Drosophila melanogaster: one gene and its partners. Changing the gene in region 1 together with any one later gene gives a genetic interaction. Each region holds a gene or a part of one and is shown in the gene's direction. Other genes may lie near its edges.

Region 1 (7,370 bases):
GGAACTTGGCATACACCTCCACGGGACTTTGCTGGTAGCGAGCGCGACAAATCGTCTTGTCCGCTCCCAGATTGTTATAGTAGTTCGTTCCATGCTGACCCCAAACGTAGGATCTCTTCTTTCTTCGACGAGACTGCTTGTTGTGTCTGCCATGCAATGAATAAGAATGATAAGTAAGATATTCAAACTACAGGATAATAAACTTACAGATAGTGATTGTCATCGGTTACTTTCCATCCTTTGATTTGGGAGAGACGGAAATCGGATATGTAAACTTCCAGCGGAAACTCGGGCATCCAAACGATGAACTTGGCCACGCCCACATAGGTGCCATACTTGACAATGACCGAGGCATTGGATGAGCCGCGCTGCTCGGAGCCATCCACATAAACAGAGCTGCAGGAGGAGGAGACCTGAAAGAAGTTGATTGGTTATTTAGCTAGCAATTGCACGATTCACAGTCATCAGACGCACCTTGATTACACTTTCATCTTCGGCGTGACAGGAGCTCTGTAGCGTCACATCGGCCACCTTGCCTGCCTGCGAAACGATGAACACCTTCATCGCCTGGGCCACCTGTCTGCCCGTTAGCACCGCCGTGTTCATCACCTCCCAGATTTTGGCCATCGGTAGCACCGCCTGAATGTCATCCTTGTTGATCTCCAGCTTGGCAATTAGTCGCTTCTTGTTGTCATCGGGTATAACCAGTTCCCCGGAATCCTTGTCCTTTGGCGTGTCATAGACATGCGTCACGGACCACACAATCTTGCCACCGTCCACAATATCATTGGTGTCCTCGGCCACCTCGAGCAGCCATGAGAATACTTCAAACACCTCGCTGGTTAGGTTGCCACCACTTTCCAGACTGGATTCGGCCTCTTTGCGGAAAGCAGTAACGCGAGCGGTAGTGTGTTTGGGATTTTCCTTCTCTACAGAAACGCTCCATTGGTCTGTGGAGGCGGTGGCGCCCAGAATCTTTAAGCCCGCCTTAACACGAGCTCTCACAGTGAAGGCGGCCACCCGCTGATCGGGATATTGATGTAAAAAGACGGGCACATGTAGACGGGAGAGTGGATACAGCGGATGTTGTGGCAGGAGAAAGGTGACGGCATCATCGGCGCGCAACATACGATAGGGAGTCCTGGCGGCCAACAAAGGCACCTGGGCGAATGTGGTCAACGGTTGGATCTGCACCTTCGGCTCGCATTGCTCGGGATTACGCAAAGGCGGTTCAAAGACACTGTACGAGACCTGGGCATACCGCTGCGGTACTTTGGGTGGCGCCTGACCACTGCCATCTTGTGTGGGCGCCGGCAGCTGGGGCCACCAGCCCAGGGGCACGACCACTTCGGCTACGCAGACACCGTCCTCGCCCTCCGGCATGCAGCGTCCTTTGAGCGGCTGCTCCGAACCCATCGCCACGTGCAGGAGTACACAGACCTTCTGGCGCTGCAAATGACCACCCGGATCGGCTCCGGCGTGGAATAGTACCCGAAGCACGGGAGCATCCTGCGATACACTGGAGCGAACCAAATGGGCGGATATGTCCAGGTGCATATTTGGCTGCTGGAGCTCCAGTAGAGTGGCATTCTGTGGGAGAGAAAGTGGTATGACAAGGCGTCCTTTTGTTGCTTGCCAGGATTTGGGGATAACTCACGTTCATATAATCGCCCGACTGGCTGTCCATTGTGTCCGGCACAATGTAGCGGGCTGGCACCGTTTGTTTCGTGGAAAACGGTCCATAGCTGGCGCGTATGGACACCGGCTGCGTGGTCTCGACCACAGTGAATCTGTCCAGAGATAACACGGAATCATAGGAGGATCGTTGCCGTAACGGCGGCACCGCCGAGGATGTCTGCACATTGGCGATCTCCGGCGTCACAGGTGGTTGGCGGGCGTGCTTCAGAAAGAAGCCGCTGTCCGGCGCCTCGAAGTGCACCTCCACGGAGTCTGGCGAGGATTCGGCATGGATTTGTTATGGGTTGGGAGTAGATGAAGGAGTCAATTAGTTGAATTTTGGTAATGGTAACATAGGGGTTGGGGATTTTCTTAAACCCGGAGGTCACCCACTCCTCCTTTATCCCCCTCCCACTGGCTTACTCCCTCCTCCCACTCCATCGCTTTTTTTGTACCACCCCCCTGGGTTTGGAAACTTTATTTGATACTTACATGCCAACGACAGCTGCAAAGCAATTATGAGGCAGTATCTCATCATCTTGTTCGTGTGCAGGAATCCAAAATATATCGAAATCCTGAAATCCTGTGCCCACCCACTCGTTAATTTGCTAATTAACTGTGCCCGCACTTTCGTTATTTTCACTGTTCTCTCGCTTGTGTGGCTTATTTGACCGTTATTCCGTTAATCGTGCCAAAAGTCAACCGTTAATTCGCGCTGGCTAGCACTTTTCGTCCTTTTTTCTCGCTCAGCAATCCGCAGCACATCCTTTATTGATTCTTTCCAGTGTGCCCACACACCCACACACCAACACACACTCACACGCTGCTCACACACACAGCCGTGGGCCACCTCACACACAGATACACATGCACATGCAGGTATAGACACATCTTCTCCTGCAAATCGCGCAGTTCAGTTCGAAATTAATTGGACCGCAACCGTGCCAATCGATTCGATTTTTCACTCGACTCGCTTTTCACGCGCTGGCAAGGATCTGCTGGGCTGGAAAATCCCTCGTTCGACGCCCTAATGCATGCCTCTTTTCATTCAGGTCTCTCAGAATTTTACACAAATATCGAACATTCCAAACACTTTGCAGTGTGTCCATACCGTATTGAAAACAATATCCTAAGATAGTGGTACTACCGTATTTGGAAGTGCTGTAATATGGGGCTGCCAGACTGTGCGCATACTCCTGAAACTCCAATCAGAACGCGGGCAATTCAAAAAGTTAATACCAAAAAAAAAAAAATACCATGTTTGACAGTGAAGAATAAAGAAAAATAAAATTAATTGGGATTGCTTAAGAAAATTTTTTGAGAAACTTTAGATTCTACAAGAAAAGAGCTTCTTAGGAACGAATATTTTAAAACAAGATCTGGTAGCACAACTGACAATAGGTTTTTAGGATTCTAATAGCCATGGTCCTAGTCTCAGTAGTATTCACATTTGTAATATAATTTTATATTTTATAATATAATTTATAGTCTTAATATTTATTTATTTTAGGAGCTCCAACAATTAGCACTTTTGCACAGTAATTTTTAGCATATTCTGCGGTATTTTCTGATAAATTGAAACCGCCTCTATGCTGGTCACACTTGGCCTTCTCGTCGAACCGAAATTATAAAAGACAAAAGTGCAGCTGGTCGAAAGTTGCATTAACGAAACTTCGATAGTATTAAACACTCGGCATTCGGCAGCTGTGAGTATGAATCAAATCAGGCGTAATCAAGCAATCATATTCGATAAAATAAACGAACTGAACTCCCAAAGGGCGCTGCCCTATGTGAGTGTGCGTGTGTGTTAGTGTATGCGTATGAGTCAGCGTCGGCAGCGCGCAAATGAAAACAATTGTTTTTGTGCTATAATTCCATTTAAATGTCCATTCGAAAGTGATAAATCAACGAAGTCGCAAACATTTGGCCCAACTTGAGTTCTCGAGTGAATTTGGGTGCTTCAACTGCGGTTTTTTTCTGGCCTTTTAAGGCTTTAATTGAAATGCGTGTGCCAGTGTGTGTGAGAATGTTTTCAATGAGCCAAATACGTGTGCGATGTTGTTTTTGTTAACCGCAGTTCAACAGCATTGATAAACTCGCATACACATGCACGCACTGGCGCAGAGCGAGAGCGAAACTCCCATACGTGTCATTTTCGTTTGCGCGAGTGACTCAGAGAGCTGCGCATGTGTGCGTGCATGAGTCGTACTCACAGTGGGCGCCCGATAAGGTGGACTTGTAACTGTAGCGGAAGCATGGAGCCATCGAACTGCTTTTGCATTATCCTTTCTGGCCTAAAACTGTATTAAAACTATTTATTTATAAATATAATTTGTAGTTCGCCCATTTTAGGCAATGGCCAAACCTTCATTCCTTAAAAAACCTTAAAGAGCAGCAATAAGATGTTCTTTCCGTTGTGATAAGCATATGCATGGTGTACTCACTGTAGCGAGCGTCCACTGTATGTTGACACAGTTTGTTTGGGGAGCAATGAAAATCGGTTTCAGCGGAATTCGCTGCAATATGTCTATATATAGCCATAAATACATACCCGGCCAACGAAATGCTAATGTGAGTCGGCGTTTTTCGATTTCAGATCCACGCCGCACACACATCACTCCAGCGCGAAGCACTAGTGCCACCAGCTCCATAGGCCGGCTCCATTTAGCTCCATTAACCGCATCAGAACCACCAATCCAACAGCAACCATGTCATCCCGTAAGACCGCCGGACGTCGCGCCACCACCAAGAAGCGCGCCCAACGCGCCACCTCCAATGTGTTCGCCATGTTCGATCAGGCGCAGATTGCCGAGTTCAAGGAGGCATTCAACATGATCGACCAGAACCGTGATGGCTTCGTCGAGAAGGAGGATCTGCACGACATGCTGGCCTCGCTGGGCAAGAACCCAACGGACGACTATCTCGATGGCATGATGAACGAGGCGCCCGGGCCCATCAACTTCACCATGTTCCTCACGCTCTTCGGCGAGCGGCTGCAGGGCACCGATCCCGAGGATGTGATCAAGAACGCCTTCGGCTGCTTCGACGAGGAGAATATGGGCGTCCTGCCCGAGGATCGCCTGAGGGAGCTGCTGACCACCATGGGTGATCGGTTCACAGACGAGGATGTATGTTGTCAAGTTGTTTACGATATCAAGTCGGAGTGTGCCCTTACAACTTCTTTTCCATTTACATTCACAGGTGGACGAGATGTATCGGGAGGCGCCCATCAAAAACGGTCTGTTCGACTACCTCGAATTCACGCGCATCCTTAAGCACGGTGCCAAGGACAAGGATGAGCAGTAAGATCGCCAGCAGTCGATTCACTAGCCAGCTGCCTCTCCAATCAGCCTGTCCAAACTATCCATCATGAGTTTCGTTTTGATAATTTAATATATACAAGTATAAATATTTTTTTTTTTTGGTTTCGCGCCTTCTGTTCTTTGATTCCTGATAATCCTGTACTTATCCGTGCATTTGAATTAAACAAAAAGTAGCCAACACCAGCGATTGTTATGTACGACAGTGTAGTGTGTGAGATGTTGGTGCCAGATAACACGATTTCCCGAAAAACTCCTTTCATAAGTATTAACTCATTGAATATACATATATATTACCTATATACAAATACATACTTATACAAGAATGTGGCAATAAACCTTTGTTTTTCTTACACTCGAGAACGTGCGCACGTCCAACCAAACAGATGTCTGCAGAAATCCTTCAGCCAAAAGCAACTGATCAAACAAGGGAAACTTTGGAATATGTACCCCCCATGGCTAATTAAGCATGATCACTAGCACGATGTGATAAGTGTATGTAGCTTCAAATGTGGCGGGAAATTGAAAGAGATTTCGGAAATTAGTCAAAATTTTCTTGGAATCTTCGACAAGCTGACTAATGAGTTCATGTCCAAAAGACTCGAACTTGCAAACTCATATCTTATCTCACATTATTTTTGATTCGAAGATATTTCAGCTTCTGCAAATATATGTTTTTCAAGAATTTATTTAAAAAAAAATCAATTAAATAGATGGCTTAATGTTCGAAACACTCAACGTTGTATATTACACACTTTTTGGACAACTATTAATTTAAAAGAAAACACGAACATTTGAAAATCTAGAAAGACACGGACACAAGAATTACAAACCAGACAAAGAGGCGTCTAAACACTAGGCAAATTCTATGTACAAACAAGGCGCTACGACTACAAATTAATGGTTAATGGTTAATGGCCTCTGCAGCAGGAACCATCACAGCCCGCGAAGATTACTCCACCTTCTTGGCCAGCGGAGCGGTGTCGAAGTGGGTCTTCCGGCTCGACCTGGCCCGATAGGCGTCCCTCACCTGGTTGATCACATTGGCGAAGAGTATTGTGCCGAAGAATACCAGGATGGTGCCTACCCAATGGTTTAGGGTGAATGGATTCCGGAAATAAATGATCGAGAACAGCAGCGAGACGAACTTGCGCAGGGTGACCACCAGCGTTACGGTTAGCGATGCACATTCGGTGGTCAGAACGTAGACGGCACTGATGCATACATACTGGGTGACCACGTTGCACAGCAGATAGAACAACATCAGCGGGAATTTCCACTCCAGTCCAATGGCTCCCAGCAGTGGCACGGCCACTGGTTCCGATGACCATGCGATACCAAAGTGTTGGACTATATTGCCGGCCATGATCAGAAAACCGGGCAAAGGTAACATGTGCGTAAAGAATAAGGCCTCGCTGGGATGCTTGCCGTATTTCTTGTATATCACCTCCTGGTAGATGCCCATGTAGGCGGTGACCAGCAGGGCGATTGTCAGCAAGCCAATACCCACCGTCCACCAGAAGAAATCGGAGTAGGATGTATCCACCTTGAGGCTGTGATGTGTATTATCCTTGACATCGCCACTGGAGACCAGAGTGCACAATATAATGCCAGCCGTGATCATGGCCACGGAGCTGTACTGTCGCAGATTGTAGCGCTTCTTCAGCAGCACAATGCCCATGATCATGTTGGCCATCAGTGATCCGCTACGGAAGATCATGTGCAGCGGCATGGGTATGTTAAAGTTGAAGGCATAGTTATTGCAAACGTTCGCCCCAAAGAACAGGGCCACCAGGATGACGTAGTCCTTCAGCGCAATCTTCGGTCGCACCGTAAAGAACTTGGAGGTGAAGACCAGACCCTCCAGCGCGATGAACAGGAATTGGGCGAAGGTGATCAGGTTACCCGCTCCCGGATCGATTTGAATGATCAGCTCCAGAAAGACCACGTTGCTGCAGCAGCCGATGAACACGAACAGCATGCCCAGCAGGGCCTTCAGGTTCAGAGCCATATCTGAAAGATAAATATGTATATGTTTAGAAATTTTAAAAATATGAATGGTTATAGGCTATTAAAATCCAGCATCTTGACAATCGATGTTAGAGTACGTGTTCAATTTTAAATTTTTTTTAAACTTTTTGTCAAGTGTGTTTTTTTTTTCATTTTGTTTTCTAGCATGTAAAACATTCCGTGCTATCTGTTATCTTAAAGGGGTAATAAGTAGGTACGTATGTACACACATGCACGTAAATTGTTTTATACATTCGCAAAACATTGCCATGATTACGAAGCAATTTGATTTCCACTAAATTTTGCTCTGATTATGCTAAAAAAGAGTTTAGCACTATTAATAAATCAATCTGTTTTGAATAT
Region 2 (7,526 bases), about 10 Mb from region 1:
TTATGCGGATGCGACGTCTGTTTAAATAAATCGTTTTGCCATTAATAGAATACTGTCATTTACCACTCCTTGTATATATGTTTTTATATTGCGATTTAGAAGGATTATTCCTATGTTATTTGCTATTTGAAAATTTCATTTATGTGAGCACTTAAAAGCCAGCGAATTTGGCGGAAAAATATTTTTCCCGCCCGAAAGTGTGACCAGTTGGTAGAGTGACCAAGACGATAGTATAGCTCCAATCAATAGTGACATCTCTAGCTTGCGGTCCGCGTTTTTACTTAATTTTCCCATTTTGCGCAAATTAAACCATCAAAATGTCGAAGGCCCATCCCCCAGAGGTGAAAAAGTAAGTGCAACCCATGTGGGAAAAAGATAGCGCTCCATAAATGCAATTAACAATACAACTTGCAGATACATGGACAAGCGCATGATGCTGAAACTGAACGGCGGACGCGCGGTGACCGGTATTTTGCGAGGCTTCGATCCCTTCATGAACGTGGTCCTGGACGACACGGTGGAGGAGTGCAAGGACAACACGAAGAACAACATCGGCATGGTGGTAAGATGCGCAGCATACCCTGCCATAAACTATCGACTCACTCGTTTTTCCCACCTGGCCAGGTTATCCGCGGCAACAGCATCGTCATGGTGGAGGCCCTGGACAGGGTCTAGCACCCGCCTCGGAACCCGATCTCGTCGAGCATCGTTAGCCGTAGTGCTTAGTCTTAAGGCTCCGTAACATTCATAGTCAGAAGAAACACACAAACTCTTGAATAAATTCTATAACAAAGATACCCCTTTTTGAACTGACAATTTATATGAGCAGTTTGGAAAATAAGTCGAAAATATTTAATAATATTGCGTACTTTGTGGATTTACTGCATTGGGAACTTGAGTCGGAAGATTGCCACTTTAAATGACGTCGCCAAGACTAGCAAATGTATTTTCCAAGAAATGCAAACACAGATAGCTTTACACATAATTGGTTTCCAAATCAATTTTTGTGCCTTTGATTTTATACAAATGCTTGGCTTCTTGATTTCTTTGTTAATTTAACTTATTTTCGGCTATTAGTGCCTTACTTGTTGAAAGATTTTGGCCATCTCCTTTTGAATTTGTATAACAATGTTCGATCGACAAAATAAAAGGCTACGTCTTTTTAGTCTTCAATCAATGCAAGAAGTTTACTTCAAGTATATCAGAAAGTTCTTTATCCGCAGATTTTATTTGTCGAAATGGAATAGAAAACAAGACACAATATATATTGAAGCAAGGCAGCTCCACCATTTCACCAAAAAGGGAATGATTTAAATCTAAAGATTAACCTTACCAAGTCCGCATGACTAAATTTCAATGAACTATGCTGTCGCACATGAGCAGTGTGTATAGATATAAAATGTTTATTTCTGCAAGGCAAGCAACCACTTAGCACATGGATTGTTAATGAAACTATGCACCTTCTAAGGGCAGAATACCAAACTGATACTGATAGTTTAGCAATAGAAGGAAAGCCATTAACAATGTGAAGGCTCGGTAAAAGTATAAATTGGCTAGTTAATTACGCCAAATGTAGCTGTTGTCCACATTGTTCTTCGCACATGCATATTACTAATATGAGCAGCATCCTGATAAATCTACCACTTTTTTACATTGCCAAGAGGAGCTATTCTATTCCCCTGTTTACAGACCGCATAAAAAATGTTTCTAGCATTCGAAGAACGCATGTTTCGTAGACTTTTACAAATTGTGGTTGGTTTTATTTTCTCATCTCTCTCGTGCAAACAAAAAGCGCTTACAATAGAAGTCTAAAAATGCGTTTTTTAGAATTCGAAGGGGCGCCGTGTGATTACTTGGAAATAACAATGGGCCCGGTCTGCTTGGCGGCATCGCGCTGCTTGAACACGATCTGGTTAGCAATACGGTCCAGATCACGCTGTCCAATGGAGCTCAGTTTGCGACCACCGTCCGGGTGCTTCTCGACCAAACGGGCGTGCTCCAAGGCCTGCAGAGCCTTGCGGGCAGCACCGTCGGCGGCGCGGCAGAAGTGCGAGGGGTGGACACCGTTGCGCTTGCGTCCGCCGTAGATCTTGGTGATCGAACCGACTCCAGCGGGACTGCGGTGGTACAGATGGCGCAGGATCGAGGCGCAACGCACATAGAACCAGTCGGGATCGTAGGGCGCCAGCTCCTTGAATTTGGCGGTCTTGACGATGTCCATCTGGTCGGGCACCTTCAACTTGCCAGTCCTATTTGGTTTTTTTCGTGTTTTTTTTTTTTTTTTTGGGGGGGGATAAACAAATGGATTGTGAGGTTATGTGGTGGAAATATACTTGATGTTCAGTACTCACTTCTTCAAGAAGACGGCGACCGCCTTGGTAACCGCGTGCTGGTCAATATCCTTCACTGTGACGCCTGGCATCTGCGGGCAGAACGGGAAAAACAAATGGGGAATCTATTACAATGCTGCCAAAAACACGTTGTCGCGATTTCCACGATTCTCTCACAGACACACTCTTTCTCTCTCTCTCTCTCCCTCGCACACACACATGCACGGGCACAACAAAAAATTGCCAGCCGAAGTTTTAACCCGAAAAAAGCTGTCCTTTCGTGTTTACGGCCGGCCCATTGTGTCATTTGCCACTTGGCGTGGGCTCTTTCATTGAATTTCACCCATTCAAAACATAAAAAAAAAGATAATTCACTTGAAAAGAATTCGTGCACAACCTTTCTCGTTAAAGTCAACCGGAAAAAAGAACAAGGCGCGTGAAGTTGGCTGCGGTTAATAGTGCTGGGCCTGCCACCAGCAATAGTATCGATTAATCGAATGCCGGCGCGGCGAACTATCGAAGATTCGGTTAATGATACTCTAACACGTATGTGTTCAATTTATAGTTATTTTTAAAAATATTTAAATTAATGAGCACACCAAGATTATATTATATATTACTTGGCATTTGAAGACCTTGTCTAAACATGCATTTTCGTATTAGTATATTTTCAATGTGGGCAAAGAATGCGTAGTACAATTCATATTTTGCTGTATCACTTTATTCATAAATAACTGCTTTTTATTTTGTTAGCAACCGATTTACATAACTATTCATGAAGCTAGTTTCTGAGTCTATCGAATAACAAGCGGCCCATCGATGACGCAGACAACCGATATTGCCGCAGCACCATCGCCATTTGGAGCGCCACCTGTTGGCCCTGGTATATTCTGGTATTTTCATCGGCGCCTAGTGACTTCGATACTTCAACTTCGATATGTAAACACAATTGCCATCTCTACCAGCACCGAGCCGAAATAAAATAAGTGCAACGCGCAGCGTCTAATTGAAACCAAATTGATCTATTTGGCCGCGGCCGAAACTGGACATTCGCAATTTGGGCGGTCAGCCGCCCCCGTCCCGTCCCGCCCCCCCGTGCGTTTCCCCCGCTGCCGACGGACAGTACGTCGGTGTGACGCACATCGGTGTGTGCGCGCGTGTGTGTGTGTCTGTGAAGCGCCTTGTTATTGTTGTTGTAGCGCTTGCTACGTTCGCCGTTCGCAGTGCACTGGTGTGCGTGCGCTCGTGTAAGTGTGTGTGCACAGAGGTATCGTTGGAATTAACAAAAAAATAGAAGAAGGAAAAAGCTACTTGATTGGGGCACACAAAAACCAACAACTCAAAAGGCCGAGAAACAAAAGCCCACCTTCAACACCACCAATCCGCCGCATTCGACACATTTTGGCCAGGTTTTTGGCCACAAGTGTTGACACAACTGTTGCATGCCAAGCGGACTGCGGACAATAATCCCCGTTCCCTTGTTTACCCAACAATCCATCGTGGTCAACGTGATCATCCTGGTCATTACGATCCCATTTGCACAGGAAGTAAACTAGATTGATAGCATTTTCCGGGAATCGATAGCACACCTGCCTGCCGTGTGGGAAACGCACCTGGGAACGCCCGGGTGCTCGGCTGCGTCCGCATGTGGCGTTGGCGGCACTCCACCAAAAGAAGCCAGCGCCAAGTGCCCAATCCCCATACCCATACCCATTCCCATTCCCATCCCCATCCGTATTCGATTGGCGTTCAGTGGCAGCAGTTAGCCAGAAATCCAACGAAACACTCGTGACCTCATCGCCAGCAAACAGCAAACAACTAGCGCTTGACGCGTGCCTCCTCTCCTCATTACTATTAGCATTCCCAGCATAGACAGACGTCCAACAACTCCTGGCAGGTAAATGTACAATATAAATATGTGTACCCCGAAGAGAACTCTGTTAAACCCTTGCTTCGCTTTCAGTTGCAGCACAGGAGCAGCAGTTGACCAACAGGAAGCAGCAGCTGGAGCAGCAGTATCAGCTTGTTATCTTGCATTTGCATGCCAGCTGGACGAGAAACTGTGACCAAGCAGCGCAGCATGGATGTGGAACGAAGGCGCCGGTGAGTGCACGAGATGGCGGCCCAAAAGCGACTGCTCCACTCAATTAATTGTCACCTGAATGGCAGCATCAGCAGCAGCAGCAGCAGCAATAGCAATAGTAGAAGTCGAAGTAGAAGTAGAAGTGGCAGTAGCCATCGCACAGATACGTGCGATTTGTACAGACAGATTTGTGATTTGTTCAACTGACCAAGCCAAGCAGGCAGCTAAGCAGCTAACCAGCTAACCACCTAACCAGCCAACTAGCCAGCTAGCACAATTCAGCGCAAGCCAAACGGGCCTGGCCAAAACAAATCAAAAAGTAATACACCGCTGGCAAACACCTTCCATATCTCATGTTCAAAGCGACAGCGCGGCAATCAAATTGACAAGCGAGTGAACAAAACGGGGGGCGACTTTATAATAAATTTGCCATTTTCGCATTAAAATTTGTAACCAAACCAAAAAGAAAAAAAACCAAAACGAAAACGAAAAGCGAACTAAAACGAACGCACAGTGGCTGATGCCGCCGTTTGTCAGTTGCAGGCGTCGCGTTGCATCGGCTGCATCGTTTGCATCGTTTTGGGCCAAAAAGGTAGAATAGATAGCCAGCACCACGCCGGTTTCTTCCATTGGACAGTAGACGGTATAGGGCATGGGGACATGGCTAATGCCCGCCGCCCTCCATTCGTGCGAGCCGGAACGGTACGTTGTTCTCATCTCCACGCTCCTAGCATTCAGCATTCAGCATCCAGCTCTCAGCTACCAGTTGTCGTCCTGGTTCGCTTGCATTCCAAATTCCGAGAATACAATTTGCCCAGCAATTCCGCAGCGTCGAGTATGCATATAAATACTTAAATTTAATTACCCATCCCCACTCGGTATCTGCTGTAAGCAGTCATAAGCGAAGCAAACGTTAAGGCATTTGCGTACTAACAATGGCCAATTGCAATGCGCATTTGGTTATAAAAGCCGAACAGTTCCTTTGTGCTGCCTGGGCAAATAATTAATTAGAATTAATAAGGTGTGAAGAGATTCTGCAACGCAGATGCAGTACCACTCTCTATCTCTGTGTGTTGAATGTGAAGCGTTCAATTTGTAAAAACTGGCAGATCGAATTTGGCGACGTTGTATAAATTAAGTTGAAAATTATATTGTCTATAGGTGACGATAATGTTGTCGTCGTCGTCGTCATCGTCGTCGTTGGTTATTATGTATTATTATTGCCGTTGTTGTTGTCAATAATGTTGCTCATAATTATGTTGTTGTTGCCATTTTGCCGCTTTGGCCAAATCGAAATCAACAGCGGCAACGAAAATTCATCGCAGCATTTTTGAAAATTCCACTTTCCCAAGTTGTTTGCTTTTGTGTATGGTGTGTGTGTGTGCTGCTATTACCCGCTGCTTGAGCGTTTTGTTTTTGGCTTTTCTGTCATGCCGTAAGTGGCGATGATGAAATCACAACAATTCAAACACCTTTTAGTATCAATTTTTAGCGCCGACTGTCATCGCAGTTTGCCTGCTCCTGCATCTGAGTCTGACTTTTGCTTGCTGGGCACCGAAATTCGATTCCCAATCGCTGACAGACTGACTCCGCATCTCCGACATCTTGCATCTTGCTAATTGCACATAAATCTTGGTTACGGGAATTAGTTTTTGACCGGAAAATGCCTTTAAATTTAGAAATTCAGAACCAACGCACTGGCAGGCCAAATTTAATTGTTTCATTCTTTGCCGAATATGTAGTTTAATTTGCCGAGAAATTCCATTTGAAAGAGCGCTTTTCCCATGCTCTAGTAACCTCGTATGCAAATACCTAATTGTTATAATTAATTTTCTATATATTTACATTCGCAAGATTTTATTTTCCATGATTTATGTACATACATACACTCTCCGAAGAATGAACCTTACCTTTTTGTTTACATTCAAAAGTAAATAAGCAATTTGTATATTCTTAATATCATTTATAAAGAATGAAACGCTTGGTGAATCAGAGCAGTGTTTTTGTTTTTTGAGATTTTAAAATCCGCACTTACTGATAAAATAATATAGCGTACTATGCTTTTTACTATACTATAGTTACGTAAATATTTGATTCATGAAAATGCATAAATTAACCGGCTCCCCTGATAAATATGTTTGTATAAATGAAAGTCATTGTGCCTGAATCAAAATCAAGCCATTTAATATTCCACGAATATTATTAATTCTATATCAGTTGTAAAGATAACAACTTGATTTTTCCTTGTGATATCTGTGTACCGATGTGTGTCCACCAACAAGGTGGGCAGTTGGTTCCATTCGCACGGCGGTTAGAACCTCCAGTGTGCTCATCATTGTATCAGCTCCAACTGCTCAAGTGCGCCGTATCAACGGCAAGTTTGCTGTCAGTGGCCTGCACATGGCTTGCATTCATTGCATTGCATATTCCATTCCATTCCATTCCATTCCATTTCATTTTATCAGAGTCGCCAACAGCGTGGGGTGATAAAGTCAAGGCCCCTCCTCGCCCCCTCCTCCACTACTTTGGCACTTTGGACTCCCCTAACATTAGCTGGACTATGCCTATGCCAGGTTATCAATGGTGGCTAGTGTTTCCAGTGCGATAACGCCTTCATCTGTATCCGTATCATGTGCCGCCCATTTGTCTGCCGCTAAAAAGCGCCCGATTGGGACAAATCTCCGGGGCATTCGGTGTCTGTCCGCTCCTCCACTGACTCACCGCCACTTCAATTCCAAGATCTGAAAGCCTGTCGCTGTTTTTGTTTACACTGTCGCTGTGCAGACAGTTGCGGTCAATGTGTTAGCACTTAAGTACTCTACTGTCGAATTGATCTAGAATTACTTATTTCGATCTGTAAATTGCCGCCCCGCCATCATGGGCTGCAACTCCTCCCTTCAATAATAATGTTTATATCCAATTCACGGCCACTCGAATTCGTTGAATCGTTAATAATAGGAAATCTTAAATTTAGAAACGATGTGCGAACCTATTAATGCCATTACTTGGACCGCAGCTGTTTGCCTGGGTGATGGGGTGGGTGTACCCGGAAAGTGGTGTTTACACGTCCCGTCCATGAGTAATCTGCGCACTTTCCCTCATAGTTCCTCCTC
Region 3 (8,437 bases), 4.8 Mb from region 1:
CGCGCGGCGTTGCTTTTGTGCGGTGAGTACGGGTGCGATCTGCGTGTGCAGCATCCACGATTCGAAATTAGGTCACGGTGCTCAATTCCCGTCCAGTGTGCCCCACTTAATTGTATGCTCACAGAAATCCACGTCCAAATTTATCATGAGTTCGACTGGTGGCTGAACTGCACTTACTTCGATTCTGCTTTTGAAACCCGCTTTCTTGCTTGCAGTTACAATAAGCGCGAGGAAGCTCAAGAGGCGATCAAGGCGCTGAACAACACGGTGCCGGAGGGCGGATCCCAGCCAATCTGGGTACGACTCGCCGAGGAACACGGCAAGGCCAAGGCGGCCCAGTTTATGGCCCAGATCGGAGGTGGCAATGGTGGCGGAGGCGGTGGTCCGCCCCACATGGGCCCAGGTGGACCGATGCACCCACCTCATCACCACAATAATCACCATCACAACAACCACCACAATCCGCATATGCCGCCGCATCATCATCAGCCGCAGCATCCACACCAGCATCCGCAGCACCATCCGCAGCTGCACCACATGCAGCACCACCATCCCAACAACCACAACAACAATCACCCCAACAACCACCATCATAACAACAACAACAACAACCACCACAACATGGGCGGCCCGCATCCGCACCACATGCAGCAAATGCACCCGATGGGCATGAACATGGGCATGGGCGTAAACATGGGAATGGGCATGGGCATGGGCATGCCCATTCACGGAGGCGGCGGTGGTGGTGGTGGCGGCGGCGGTGGAGGCGGTGGTGGTAACTTCCACCACATGGCGCACAGAGGTAGATCAAATAGAACAACACGATCTCAAAAACCGCATCCATATAACCATGCACAGAAATTTATTTAAACGCCATTAATTTCTTTACACGATATTAGCTGCATCTCACAGGTGAAGTGTTCATGCTGCCATTGCCGATTTGCAGCCGATTCCCCAGCCAGCCGCATCCCGTAGGCAATGGCATTTGCCACAGCCCCAACAAGAACAGCAGATTCCGTTTAAGCCGCCGCCCGCAAGCCTCCAGAACAACCATCAGATATATTGCGCATTCGGTGGCAGATCCCGTTCCCACTCCGACTACCTAGTGCCGCTCTACTTTCCAGCCCCCGCCCATCCATCAGTTGTTTCCATCTCCTCGCCAGCTGCGTCACTTTCGGCCTACCCAGCTGTTTTGGCCGTGTATGTTCCGGTATATGTCACGGTTCCGGTCTCTCTTCCTGTTACCATGAACAGAGCCAGTCCACAAGCTTAAAGTGAGTGCAGACGGAGGCGGCGGAGGCGGTGGCCACATGGTAGAAGCGAGTAGAAATAGATTGAGTGCAATCGGAGGAGGGAAGAGGAGATATTACCCAGAAGCGATATCCAATAGTAGCCAACTCTCTCGCTCTCTATGTGTATGTATGTATCTTGCTATCCATATATGTATATCCATATCAGAGAGCCAGGATTGGTTGAGACCATACGATATAACCCGAAACCACACTGGCCAGGAATAGCAAATCCAAGCATTGGCAGCAAGAGGCAAAGCAAAGGTGCACGGCAGACATAGGCAGTACCACAAGAACACTATCACAGAATTAAGCAGAGCAAATTAAAGATGCATAGCGTGTATTAAGATGTACGAAATAATGTTCCAAAGTTAACCAGCCTACACAATCCCCAACAACACACACACACACACACATAAAGACGGTCGGAGTCGAATCCTTGATCGAACCACATAAGAAAAAATTCCAATGAGTTTGTATGAGCAACATACAAAGCCCCAAACGCAAACCATCAGCCACTCAAGACGAGACGAGAACGCAACCAAAACTCAAATATAACTTTCCTGCACTCATCTCCAGTTCACGAAACAATCTTCGCTCTTGGTGGATTGCGAATTGTAAATGAATTGAGTAACTGCACGGATGCAAAGCCCCAAGATGTGGCGACTATTCCGGCCGGACACTGTGAGACGGACGTTACACACACGGATATATAGAGAGACGAACCTTATGACAACAGACAGAAGACGCTTGCTCTGAATAGATGGTTAATTTGTAGACTTATAAGGAACGTCGACAGCGAGGGTTCGTTCGCGTCACTTGCTTTTTACTACATTATAAATAAATTATTGATGTACTACCAACAAACCAAGAACAAGAACACCACACTATACAAACACCTATATATTAGATAATATATATGAATGATGTATAAATACCCGAACTTCGGGTAAACTTCCAACAGAAACCCGACAAGAAGATGGCTGAATATGAAATAAACTTGAAATTTTCCAACCAGCATACCCGTGAGACCCAGAGGTCCGAAATTTTTTTTTTTTAGTATTGATAATCTCTAAACGTAAATCCTAGTCTCGTAGCAATATCATAGTTAAGGTGACTTTTTTTTCAGAATAAACTTAAAGCACGAAAGAAATACATGTATTTAAACCTTAAATCCTAAAGTTTATAATAAACGAACACAAATTGAATTCTTGAGTCTGCGAGCGAGATGGTGCGATGCAGCCTCAGCGAAAGAGAGCGAGAGAGATGATACAGATTTGAGGTACAGTCAGCACAGTACAGTGCGGATCAGAGCTTAAGTTGACGATATACTATTGTTGTAAATTGATGTTAGGCTAAGCAAATAAATAGTTAAAATGTTCAATTTTCGCTTAGCTGAATCCTGATCGTCGTAAAAACGCATTTACACGAACATTATATACTAGTCATTAAGCGGTTCTATTTGACAGGTGAAAACAAGAAGCTGTGGCAGCCTTTTACTACAGAAACTAAAAAAGAAAAATACAAAGCTTGACATATACACGCATATTTGTGAACAAACTGAATTTTACCATACATCTTTGAGAATTTTAGGACAGTATTCTTGATAATCTATATTGAATGTTGATCTACACTTAACGTTGCACAAAAGAGGTATCTTTCTGACCTTCTATGCGCGTGGAGTGGATCCAAAAAATCAACTTGGTGTAATAAATGTGTATTTAAATCACAAAACGGGCATCTTTTCCCTTTCAATTGGACATCAGAGAGTTTCGACAACGCACACCTACTAGTTTTTTTGCGAGCTTAACTATTTCAAATGTGGTTGAGTAAAGCCATTAATATTGCTTTTTATAAATTCAGCATAAGTGGCAAGATGGTTTTAAATTGCGCGCCACTGCGGAACTACCTGGCATCACTGGCCGCCACTTATCGATAGCCACTGGAAGGCGAGAGAGAGAGAGAAAGAGAGGGCGCGAATCAGCTGCTGGAACGAGTGTTGTTGGAAGGCAGTGTTGTTGGAAGTGGCAGCGCCTTCCAATGTCAATTAAATAAGCAAAACGCGAAGAAAACCCAAGCGTAAAGGAGAGTCTCGTTGCCGCGCTCGAATAGAAATCCAGGAAATCAGTATCAATTCAACCGCCCTTGACACATCCACAACCACTTTGACATCCGAATCCGTATCCGGGCGAGGTGGCACGGCTGGCAGGAAGAACGTAACGTGAGTGGCTGCTCTATTCTATTCTATTCTGTTGATTCAGCGGAGTACACTACGCAATAACCGATAACGACCTTACCACCGCTCCCCTCTCCGCGCCCATCCGCAGCGGAGCAGTGGAGCACCCCCAGTCCAACAAGGAGCTACCTGCTCGAGATGCCCCAGATGAGGGCTGCGGCCGCTGAGGCGGTGGCCGCCGGCAGCGCCAATGGCCAGCCGCTGGTCAAGATTGGGCACTACCTACTGGGCGCAACCCTGGGAACGGGAACCTTCGGCAAGGTGAAGATCGGCGAGCACCAGATCACACGCGTCAAGGTGGCCGTCAAGATACTCAATCGTCAGAAGATCAAAAGCCTGGACGTCGTGGGCAAGATCCGGCGTGAGATCCAGAACCTAAAGCTCTTCCGCCATCCGCACATCATCAAGTTGTACCAGGTGAGTTCATGGCTCCAAGCTTAGACTTTCTAAGTCCAAGCTTTCCAGGAAACTGGGTTACTGGTTTCCTCTTCCAATTACGCTGGCCAGCTACTAATAACAAACAATCAAGCCGCAGTTTAATAAACAAAAAGGCAGGATATGCCCGAAGGGGGAATAGCTTTTCTATAACAACATTTTGGAGGTTTGTTTATCTATAAAGTACACGGTCATGCCTAGTCATCCGAATTTTGTTGCGGAAGGCAAATGCATATCTAGAAACTGGGCCACTGGCTAGACATTCGCAACAGACATAGAAGCCCAACTTAAATGAGCAAAAAGTTTGGAAGGAAAGTTTATAAAAGGAATATGTACGGGGTCTGCTTTGGTTTTACAAGCACATTTTCCCTCGATTTTCGGATTGGATCAGTTACCAATTAGGTTAGGCAGGGCTTGGGGGAACCTAGGGACGGCTGCAGTCATCAGCTGATATAAACGTGCTTGCTAACCTTTCCGTAACTCTCCGAAGGTCATATCGACGCCGTCGGACATCTTCATGATCATGGAGTACGTGAGCGGCGGGGAGCTGTTCGACTATATTGTGAAGCACGGCAAGCTGCAGGAGCACCAAGCGCGCCGCTTTTTTCAGCAGATTATCTCTGGCGTGGACTATTGCCACCGGCACATGATCGTGCATCGAGACCTGAAGCCAGAGAACCTGCTGCTCGACCACAACATGCACGTGAAGATCGCCGACTTTGGGCTCTCGAACATGATGCTGGACGGCGAGTTCCTGCGCACCTCGTGCGGCTCGCCCAACTACGCGGCGCCCGAGGTGATTTCCGGCAAGCTGTACGCCGGTCCCGAGGTGGACATCTGGTCGTGCGGCGTCATCCTGTACGCCCTGCTGTGCGGGACGCTGCCCTTTGACGACGAGCATGTGCCTACGCTGTTTCGCAAGATCAAGTCGGGCATTTTCCCCATTCCCGAGTACCTCAACAAACAAGTGGTCAATCTGGTCTGTCAGATGCTGCAAGTGGACCCGCTCAAGCGGGCCAACATCGAGGAAATCAAGAAGCACGAGTGGTTCCAAAAGGACCTCCCGGCCTACCTCTTCCCCTCGTCCATCGAGCAGGACTCCAATGTGATCGACACCTACGCTGTGGCAGAGGTCTGCACCAAGTTCGGCGTCAAGGAGACCGAGGTGCACAACTCGCTGCTCAGCGGCGATCCGCACGATCAGCTGGCCATCGCTTACCATCTGATCATCGACAACAAACGCTTCGCCGACGACGCGGCCAACCAAATAAACGAGATCAACAACTTCTTTGTGGCCGGCTCTCCACCACCGCCGCCGCCTCCGCCCGTTCCCCAATCATCGATGGACCACCAAGCCCCTCTGGCCACCGTGACCGTTGGCGGAGGTACCTCAGCCAGCTCGGGCACCGCCACACCAGTGCCACCAGTGGCTGGAGGCACGCCTAGCAGCACCATACCCATTCGACCGCATCCGGAGCGGATTGCGCCGATGCGGGACCGTCAACTGGCCATGTCCGTGCAGACATCTGGCGGCGGAGCCTTCCCGGAGAAAACCGCACGTGGCGGCACTCCCATCAAGCGCGCCAAGTGGCATCTGGGCATCCGGTCGCAGAGCAAGCCCAACGACATAATGCTCGAGGTATACCGAGCGATGAAGGCACTCAGCTACGAGTGGAAGATCATCAATCCGTACCACGTTCGGGTGCGCAGGCAGAACGTGAAGACCGGCAAGTTCTCGAAGATGTCACTGCAGCTGTACCAGGTGGACGCCAAGAGCTATCTGCTCGACTTCAAGTCGCTGACCAACGACGAGGTCGAGCAGGGCGACGACGTCATCATGGAGAGCCTTACTCCGCCGCCGCTTAGCGTGTCCGGGGTGATGCCGCTGCAGCCGACCGGCCACCACACCATGGAGTTTTTCGAAATGTGCGCCGCCCTGATCATTCAACTGGCTCGCTAAGGATGAGGTGACCGCCATCGGCCGCAGCGGACCGGATGGGATCTTCTCGGCTGGCGATCCGCACTCGGACAGTCCTGAGGATTGACCATTACCCGGAAGACACAGTCCCACAAAGGAAAGCTGGGGGGAGTTTCGGGCTCCGCGGATCCCGGAGTCTGGCCTTAACCACATGACTAAGTTCTTGCATTCGTCCCAAACCCTTTTGATTTTAATCGGAAACCCAATGTGCAATTATCGGTAGCAGGATTTGGGAATAGATTTTAAAAATGGCCTGCTACTAGACGACGAACAAGAGCTTGGGACTCCGACTCCAGCTTTTCTTTGTGCGGCTGTGTAATCCACATAAAATGTTATTGAACTCGGACACCGCCAACCGCCGTTGCCGCTACGCTACCGTTACCCGCTTTGCCGTATCGATTTCCGCTTCCGGTTAGTCTAAGTCTGTAGGTTCCGCCCGGTCGGCGGGCTTCGATCCGTTTCTGTTCTGTTCTGTTTCTATTTCGATTTATGTTTATAAGCAAGTTGAGTTATTATCCAAACCGCATGTGCACGTGGATGTATTTGTATTATGCCTAACGAATTGTAATTGGAACCTCGTCTGGGGAAGCTGTCAGATAACAACCAGATGTGGACCAAGTTTTATGTATCTGTATCTGAACCAACCAAACAATAAAGCGATCCATTAATATTCTAAATCGATTGTGGACGAAGTGTGAATTAAGAGTAGCCATAATTAAAGTTAGTTTTATTGCATATTAAGGTATGTTGTGCACATTCTTTCAGCATCGATGATTGCAAATTCTGCCTCGGCATTGGGCTTCATATCGCAGTTCCAGTCTCCCGTTTCGTGTGTAAAATCATAGCATCCCTGATCTAATCCACCTGTGCATCGCATCGCCGCTCCAGCTCACTACTGCTTCTGCTGTTGCTTCCGCTTCAGTTTGTCGATTAGGGTCTCGATGCTGTTGGCGTCGACCAGACCAATGAACTTGTCCACTACGACGCCGTTCCTGAAGGCCAGAACAGCGGGCACGGCCTTCACCTCGAAGGTCTCGACGAGATCCAGGTTCGTCTCCACATCGATGACCGCCAGGTCGATCTCGTTCGAGTTCTCAAGCAGCTCGAGCATCTTGGGCGTGAGTATCTTACAGGGGTCGCACCACTCGGCGTGGAAGTTCACGATCACCGGGTTGTCGCTGTTGATCACCTGCGGAACAAGGCATAATACATAGGTGGTGGTTGAACAGACTTTAAAATTGGAGTGCTTTGCTCGGAACTAACAAAACACCTCATTGTCATCCCCATAACGTCACCACAACGTCGAGTATGCCAGATTATGCCACTTATAGGCATAACGTCATAGCTAAAAAGGGGAGATGGACCTGCGGCTGCCGGGGTGACTATCGAGATTGATTTGCGGCAGAATACTGCAGTTTTCATATAGTGAGTGATTCATACAATTGTAGCCAGTGTCTGCTATATTAGTAGTTTTAAATTCCGTCTACTCTGAGATTGCGGGGTGGTCACTTGGGAGGCTACAAAATGTGTGTGTGTGTGTGACTCACGTTTCTCTTATCTCGCCTAATCCAACTGCAATTGATAACTCGGCCATGGAGCGATATGCTGAAGGGTCTTCTGCAGCTGGCTCCCGTTTCTTCGCGGACGCAGCGGCTGGCTGAAAGGGGTTTAAACCGGTATCCAATGTTTTGGGGCTCATTTGCATACACGAGCACAGGCCGAAAACAAAATTGAAAACAGAACTGAGGCGAGTGTGCGCACACATATGTTTGTATCTATGGACGGGTCCACGGCCAAGTACGTCATGGGGTGGATTCGTCCCCTTCCCCTGCCTGCACCCCTTGCTCCTCCCAAGTATCCCAAACCCAAGCACGTAGGCCAGCGCACAAGGTCATCGTTGCCTGCTGCCGTTCCTGGCCATCGCAACCCGTTTCGTTGCATAATCCTGACTCACCTTCTGATCGAACTCGTAGTGGTCTTTGATGACCAGCATTTTGTGGAGGTGCTGCGACTGCGACAGGTACTTCTGGGTGCCCCTGGCCGCCTGGGGCGCCATTCTTTGGCCTCTGCTCTTCGCTCCAATGGAGCAACAGGCCGCCGCCAGACGTGGCGCGATTCCCTCGGCGGCGATCTTCAGCATTGCGGATTGCGGAAATTCAGTACGGGGGCGGATGGGTATGCGGATTCGGATGCGTAACACAGGCACTCTCGCAGCGATTAGATATCTGGCAGGGTCTCGGATGTCCAACTGGTTGTTCCGTACGTGATGTGTATGCGTTTAATGTTTGTTTATAAACTCTGGGCCAGCGCTGCACAACACTGCCACTGGCTCGGCGTTGCCACCTCGCGGGCACTGAAACCACTTGGAAATCAACTTTTCTTGTATGACAGTTCGAAGACTCGAATTGTGTTAAAATATTGCGCTAATAAGAGGATTATTTGCGCGCCAGGGATCCAGTGTAAGCGTATCTTATCTTATTCTTCAACTTTGTATGTGAG

The links.
Region 2: of sqh (region 1) and Rok, changing one suppresses a phenotype caused by changing the other (phenotypic suppression), as found in Drosophila melanogaster (2 studies listed by BioGRID).
Region 3: of sqh (region 1) and AMPKalpha, changing one suppresses a phenotype caused by changing the other (phenotypic suppression), as found in Drosophila melanogaster (2 studies listed by BioGRID).

What each region holds. Positions count from the first base shown.
Region 1 is NC_004354.4:6,221,020-6,228,389, reverse strand, and holds sqh (spaghetti squash), read left to right. Parts: upstream 1-3,249; 5' UTR 3,250-3,383; exon of another isoform or gene 3,384-3,693; intron 3,694-3,869; exon of another isoform or gene 3,870-3,979; intron 3,980-4,232; exon of another isoform or gene 4,233-4,273; 5' UTR 4,274-4,385; coding exon 4,386-4,805; intron 4,806-4,878; coding exon 4,879-4,983; 3' UTR 4,984-5,329; downstream 5,330-7,370. Other genes in the region: dtn (detonator), read right to left, coding at 1-146, 208-413, 475-1,590, 1,658-1,950, 2,170-2,215; Efr (ER GDP-fucose transporter), read right to left, coding at 5,950-7,008. UniProt on the Drosophila melanogaster protein: Required for cytokinesis, could regulate contractile ring function.
Region 2 is NC_004354.4:16,633,129-16,640,654, reverse strand, and holds the start of Rok (Rho kinase), read left to right. Parts: upstream 1-3,240; 5' UTR 3,241-4,227; intron 4,228-4,293; 5' UTR 4,294-4,371; coding exon 4,372-4,433; intron 4,434-4,987; exon of another isoform or gene 4,988-5,080; coding exon of another isoform or gene 5,081-5,115; intron 5,116-7,446; exon of another isoform or gene 7,447-7,526. Other genes in the region: SNRPG (small nuclear ribonucleoprotein G), read left to right, coding at 318-349, 415-562, 625-675; RpS19a (ribosomal protein S19a), read right to left, coding at 1,850-2,249, 2,352-2,422.
Region 3 is NC_004354.4:1,372,246-1,380,682, forward strand, and holds AMPKalpha (AMP-activated protein kinase alpha subunit), read left to right. Parts: upstream 1-3,290; 5' UTR 3,291-3,510; exon of another isoform or gene 3,511-3,624; 5' UTR 3,625-3,663; coding exon 3,664-3,942; intron 3,943-4,450; coding exon 4,451-5,920; 3' UTR 5,921-6,651; downstream 6,652-8,437. Other genes in the region: ssx (sister-of-Sex-lethal), read left to right, coding at 1-22, 216-802, 913-1,106; CG3719 (uncharacterized protein), read right to left, coding at 6,831-7,127, 7,893-8,078.